Linked DNA regions of Cricetulus griseus. The protein of the gene in region 1 interacts with the protein of each later gene in a biochemical or structural test. Links are inferred from orthologs where the notes say so. Each region holds a gene or a part of one and is shown in the gene's direction. Other genes may lie near its edges.

The links.
Region 2: the proteins of Rnf114 (region 1) and Xaf1 form a complex in vitro, tested with the Homo sapiens proteins (2 studies listed by BioGRID). The link is inferred for Cricetulus griseus from reciprocal best matches to the Homo sapiens genes RNF114 and XAF1.

The regions. Positions count from the first base shown.
Region 1 is NC_048599.1:11,896,752-11,899,881, reverse strand, and holds the end of Rnf114 (E3 ubiquitin-protein ligase RNF114), read left to right. Parts: intron 1-294; coding exon 295-402; intron 403-1,091; coding exon 1,092-1,157; 3' UTR 1,158-2,605; downstream 2,606-3,130. UniProt on the Homo sapiens protein: E3 ubiquitin-protein ligase that promotes the ubiquitination of various substrates. In turn, participates in the regulation of many biological processes including cell cycle, apoptosis, osteoclastogenesis as well as innate or adaptive immunity.
Region 2 is NC_048600.1:86,144,994-86,148,646, forward strand, and holds part of Xaf1 (XIAP-associated factor 1), read left to right. Parts: intron 1-764; coding exon 765-960; intron 961-3,023; coding exon 3,024-3,109; intron 3,110-3,653. UniProt on the Homo sapiens protein: Seems to function as a negative regulator of members of the IAP (inhibitor of apoptosis protein) family. Inhibits anti-caspase activity of BIRC4. Induces cleavage and inactivation of BIRC4 independent of caspase activation.

The DNA.
Region 1 (3,130 bases):
TGCTCAGATTGGCTTTTCATGTGCACACTTTAGGCCATATCCCTGTTATTTGGGCCTTTACTTTGTTCTCTGAATTTTACTTTGTTGGGAATAAGTCATCCATCATTTTATGAGCCTGTCATTTGAATTAAATAGCATTTTCTGGTTTGCTTCATGTTTATGGAGACAAGTGACCAGGCCTTGTACCTGGGCTTGTCAGTAAAGCTGTCCTAGCATAAAGGGGCTGAGCATAGGTCACAGAGGGCTTGGCTTAGCCGAGGCATCAGGTCACAGCACCTTGCTTCCTCCTAACAGGTTTGTCCCATATGTGCCTCGATGCCCTGGGGTGACCCCAGCTACCGCAGCGCCAACTTCATGGAGCATATCCAACGCCGCCACCGCTTTTCCTATGACACTTTTGTGGTGAGTCTGGACCCGCCCCAGAGGGGTAGCACTGATGCTCAATTTTCTGGGGGTGAGGGCAGCCTGGGCTTGAAGAACTCTGGTCCCAGAGGGAAGCTGCACAGTGTCTGTTCATGGTGGGTGGGTCTCACTTGGGCTAGACTGTTAGGTGATTCCTGTCTCCATTGTAGAGTACTGGGATTACAAGTGCGCACCTCAACATGGGTGATGGAAATCTGAACTAGGGTTCTTGTGCTTGACCTCGCAGGCATTTTACCAATTGAGTCATCTCTGTAGCCCCAGGAATAACTTTAATTTTTTATATTTATTTTATGCATGTTTGCCTGAATGTATCTGTGTATACCACATTTGTGCACTGCCTGCAGAAGCCAGAAAGTGTCCTATCCTCTGGGACTGGAATTAATGGTGGTTGTGATCCATCATGGGTGATGGAAATTGAACCTGTGTCCTCTGGAAAAGCAATCAGTGCTCTTAACCACCAAGCTGTCTCTCCAGCCCCAAGCTATTAATTTTTATTTAATGATGATACAACAGAGACACTAAGCTGAAGTAATTTTCCCAGTTACACAGCATCTAAACAGTGACCTGGGGCCCTTAGCAGCCTTCTCCAGACAGTCTTGCTAGGCTCCTGCTGAAGGTGAATCTTCTGGGTGTGAACCGTCACTTAGGCTGGTGTCTTCTGCCCTCAGGACTATGATGTTGATGAAGATGACATGATAAACCAGGTGTTGCAACGATCCATCATCGACCAGTGAGCAGGGTCCTCACTGTCCACCTCATTCTAGAGCTTCCATTACGCATTAGGTGTGAGCCCTTGACTCCTGTACCTCACATGTAATGCAGATCTGTAAATGAGCCATGGCACCAGACAGGGTCACTTCTCCCAGGGCCTAGGGCAGAGCCCTGTTTCCTTTGGGCTCTTGTTGACATTGTCTTCCTGGCTGATAACCTTGTTTGTCCCATGGTCCGCTCTCGTCACACCTTAGCTACTGCCTCCTTTAAAAAGAAGAGTCCAGCTTCTGTTCCCACGTGTTCTTGTTTCATGTTCATCCTACTGTCCAGTGTTCGTCTCTTAGGTCCTCCTACTCAGCCAGCCCCTTCCCCGGGGCCATGAATAGCACAATTAAACAGGGACTCCTTTCCCTGGCCCTGAGGTACCTGGGTTCTGGGTTCTGCTGTATACCAGGCCAGGCTGCGCTCCCCTTTTCTTCCTGGATGATGACCTTGGGGTTTCAAAAACTGATCCTGTTTTGGTTTCTGCTGTTTCCCTACATCTCCTGCACATCCATAGAACTGATGGCTTCTGTCTTAAATGCCTGACAGTGCCTTTTTAGGATAAGGTATCACCATAGAAATAGAATGGAAGTGTCGGATAGCAAAGCTGGGGTACACTCGTCTGTAAGTGGGGAGAAAGTGGTGTGTGGGTTTTGGTTCTCTTTCACACTGAGTGTTCCCAGGTGGCTGGGTCATGTGCCCCTCTGTTGTGTATCTGCTGATACTCTTGCTCTGAAGAATGAAAGAGCCCTTGGGTGATGGAGGCACTGACTGTTGAACCTGCTGCTCGATAACCAACCTGAGCATTATTGCTGTCATACAGACCTCTGTGCCCAAGTGTATGTTTTAAAACCCTGCCTTTTGGTGCAAAGCCAGGGTCATACCCACTTGTCTCTTCAAAGCCCCTGTTGGGAAGTTAAAGTTAGGCCCCTGCCAAAGTTAAGAAAGGTGTTCTGCTGGAGGCTTTCTCGAGCAGCAGCTCTAAAAACTGCTAGTCCAGTACATTTTACAAAGTACAGTTGGGCACCACCAGGCAGCCAGCCAATCTGCAGAACAGACGCCCTGACAGACCTAGGGCTTTGGGAGTAAGTTGTCCTTCCTGTCGTGTGGCTCTGGTCCAGCTGAGACTGCATGCGATATTGTGCTTTTGACGCCGTACTTCTACTGTGGCTTCTGCCTGCTAGGGAAAAGCTAGCTCAGATGCAGCAGAGTCGGGCAGGGTCCCTTTCCACTTCACAGAACCCTCTGGAAAGGTTTGCTCAGGAGATATCGGGAGGGACTGAGAAGGACACAGCTGTACAACAGGAACCTCTTATCCTGCATCACATCCACTATTTCTAATGTAACAGCTTTCCAGAAAGTTTGGTGGTTATGTTCTGGCTTTTAAAAGGTGAACTTAAATAAATTTCATAATTTATCCAACCAGCAATCTGTGGTGTGTTTTCATTAAATAGCTTTTTCTCGGGTCTGGGCCTGTCAGCCTCCGGAAGGTTGTTACTCAAGGGAACATTCTTGTCTGTCCCCAAGTCAGCCTGGCTTCTAGTCAGTCTGAGGCTTCAGCAGCTGGGCCTGTCTTTTCTGAAAAAGAGTAGAAATATCCCCCCTCTCTGAGTGGGGAGTTCACAGCAGGCCAGGCTCTAGACCTGCCACTGCAGTGACTTAGGTGTGACAGTTAAGGGGTTCCAAGGGCTCAGACTTGGGTCCTTGTGTATGTGTGTGCACTGTGCCAGTGCCTGACCCCTTGTGAACTGGGGTCATAGTATGTAATGAGCCATCTAAAGGAGTGTGCAGAAGGTGCATTGGATGCTGCCTGGAATCCTCTGTGGGCTTTGTTCCCATCCTAGTCCCATAGGGACCTGAAAATGACCCAGAGGTCAGCACATCCATCTCTACCCTGTCCTACCTACTTTGAGAAGAAACACTACCCCAGGTGGCTGAAAATGGCTCATTGCAA
Region 2 (3,653 bases), on another chromosome or scaffold:
GGTAGTCTGCACAATGCCATCAGCATGTGCAAGCCCTCCCTTGCTGAAGTTGGATTTCTCCTCTAGAGGCAAGCAAGCTAACCTGAGAGAAAGAGGCAGAGAGGGGAGGAGAGGCCAGTCATAAAGATTCCCCCCTGACCACTACCCCTCCACGTGAGTGGCTAGGAGAACTGTGGAGAACCATCCCACTCAGACATGCAGATTCCTCTGCCCCACATACGTGCTTGATATGGAGATCTCCATGATCCATGAGTGTGCTGGTTCATTTTTGTCCACTTGACGTAGGCTCTGGTCACCTGAGAAGACAATCTCAATTGAAGAATTCCATCATACTGATCTGAGGGTGTCTCTACAAGCGTTTTCCTGATTAATGATTGATGTGGGAGATCCAGGCCACTGTGGGCAGTACCACTCCTTGGCAGGTGGTCCTGGGTTGTAAAGAAAGCAAGCCACTAAGCAGCACTCCTTCATGGTCTCTGCTTTAATTCCTGCCTCCAGGTTCCTGCCATGATCGAGTTCCTGTCCTGACTCCCCTCAATGAGAGCCTATGATGTGGAAATGTAAAATGAAATGAACCCTTTGCTCCCCAGGTTGCTTTTTGGTCGTGATGTTTATTTATCACAACAGAAAGCAAACTAGAACAGTGAATCTAAAAGAACTCATGATCCCCAAGGACAATGTCTGCTTCTGACCCTTGCCAGCACTCTCTCTGATTGGCTTCAGTTTCCTAGGGAGTTAGGCCCATGTCCTCCATCTTTCCACAGACCAAGGAAATCCAACAGCACCCTGCCAGGTGCAAGTTCTGTGATCTGGCTGTGCACTTCGGCAAACTGGATGCCCATGAGCCCCACTGTGGCCTCCGGACAGAGCGCTGTCCACACTGCAACCAGCCCATCACACTCCGAATGTTGGCCCAGCATAAAATTGTGTGTCTGAGGGCAAAGGCCAAGCATGAGGAAGGTGAGCATCAGGGAGAAGCTGGAAAGGGGGAGGACAGTTTCCAGAGCCAGTCTCCTGGGCAGGAAGGATGCAAGGACAGGAACCCTTAACAGCACAGGATAGAAGAGTGTCATTCTGTACATTTCCATACTGGAGTATGGCACTGGAGTAGCCTTCTTGTGTGTCTGCTTTGCCTTTCAGTGACTTACCCAGGAAAAACAAGAGGCCAGGGATGGGGTGTAAGAGCCACAGAGAAGAGGGAGAGAAAGCCATGGGAATCATAAATATGAAGGGCTTTTATTTACAAGCCAAAGACATAATCTTGGCCTGGTAAGGCTACACCTGAATCATCCTCTAGATGAAAAGCACGCCTCACAAACCTCAGAGAACAATAAGATGGAGGGACACTCCAGCTTCTAGCGCTAAGCCTCGATCCTTCTTTTCCACTGGAGTGTATGGCCTGTTTTTCCCATTCTGTGATAAATAAACAATGGTGAGAAGCAGAAGCATTGTAAGGGAGAAAGGGTTTGCTGTGCCTTACAGTTTGAAAGATAACAGTCTTGTTGTGCTGGGGAAGGCATGACCTCGGGAGCACGAGGCACTGCACTGGTCAGTCTGAACCCAGAGTGGGAAACAGAAAGCACAAGATGTGGAGCTAGGCTAAGAAACCTCAAAGCCTGAACCCAGCACCCACTTCTTCCAGTGAGCCTCTACCTCATAAAGGTGCCAAAACAGCATTAGTAGCTAAGAACCAAGTGTTCAAACACATGAGCTCACTAAGAGGGTAGGGTGTTCACATCCAAACCATAGGGATTAGCAATGGCCCGACGGGAGGCTGCTATAGCTCCAGGCTGTAGCGTCTTTTATCAGCTTCTAGTATCACTTCATATTCTACCCCCACCTCTCTCTGCAGTTCCAGTGCTGGGGATTTGAACCTAGAGCCTCATACATGCTAGACAAGTGCTCTACCACTGGCCTCTTTATAGGAGCCTTTGCCAAGAACATAGTTAGTTGCCCATGTTTCACATCTTTTGTTGACTTGGTTGTTTGGACAATGTGATAACATGTGGAGAAACTGTGGAACCCCTTAGTAAGTCCCACAGGTCAACGCTCTACCCAAGATCAAAAGTGGCCAATGGAAAGCCAGGAAGTATGTGTACTTTTCCTTCATCCCATTGTGCCTGGTCTCCCACCCAACTAACAGTCTCCAACCCAAGTTCAGTGACATGCTCAATACAACACAACTTTAGCACAGTGATGTTACAACCAACGCCTGGTTGGATCACAGAGCTCACAAAACCTGAGCTCAATTGGCAGTCTGGGTGTGAAAGGAAATGTATCGGTTCAGGACCCAGAGACCTTGTTCTCAGCACAAAGGAGATTTGTTTGCCTCGGAAGGACAGAGGTCAGGGAATAAGAGGAAATGACAGGAGATAGAGGACAAGGGAGAAGGGGAAGGGAACAGGGGAAAGAGAGCAAGGGTATTTGTCCCAGAGGGACAAAGGACTGCCTCTGGGTAGAGAGGAAACAGGCCCCTAGGAAAATGGTGTTTTATAAAGGTAAAAGGGGAAAGCCTCTGGTAGCATGAGGTGTTTAATTTTAATTGGGCCTGTTAATTGGGTGAGTCAAAGGGATTTTTGATGGCTGAACTTCAATACTTTGTTAGCTAGACTTTGATGGTACGGCCTCGGGAGGAGGAAGTGGCCAAGTGAGGGAACAGCCCTTGGTGGCTAGCTTTAAGAGTGTAATCTAATGGTTTTTAGTAAGGCAAGGGGATGGGAGGGGCAAGGCCTGCCAGAGCCACTTGCTGGAATGGGCTAGTGTCCCTTTGGGGCAGTTATGTACATAGCCCCTTTCAATTGCTTAAAAACCAGTTCTGCTCCAGGAAAGGGACTCTTCATCAGTGTCACTGTGAGAAAAATGGCTGGCCAGCCAGTCCTCTCCAGAGTGGCTACTGGCAGTGTGGGGACAAGACCAAGCTAGTCTAGGAATGGTATTCTCGTGAGTACAGGCCATGAGAGCATGGGAGGAGGAGGGTAGCCACCGTCAAAACAGTCATTTGTGGCGTATCTGCATCTACTCAGGGAAGAGAAATGTATCTCCTGAAAGGAAAACCCGTTGTGATTACTGCAAACAAATGATTCCAGAAAATAAATATGTCTCCCACATGGTGAGTAGCACTCTCCCATTTTCTAATTGTGCCAGTGGCCAGTTCATACTACCAAAAGCAAGGTGTGAAAGAGCAGATTCTAGGTCAAGTTTGCACAGCACAGTTATCAAAGGTTCGAATGTTTGTTGTTTTACTTTGTTTAGTTTTGCTATGTTTCGAGGTTTTCTTTCTTCTTTATTGACTCTTTGAGAGTTTCACATCATGTGCCCCAATTCTGTTCACCTCCCAGTCCCTTCATACTTCATATTCCCCCCTCATCTCTGTTGCAGCCCCCTCAACAAAAGAAGGCAAAACAAAGTCAGAAAGCAAGCAAACAAAAGCAAGAACAAAACCACACACACAAAAAAAAAAATACCCAACACACACACACACACACACACACACACACACACACACACACACACGAAAACTTACCTAAACCAAAACAGAACAAAAAAAAAAAAGAAAAAAGAAAAAGAAAAAAACCCACACCCGAAACAGAAAACCTCTGCTTCTCATTCTTTCCCAATGTTTTCTTTAGGCAAATTTGGCATGCATAGTTGGC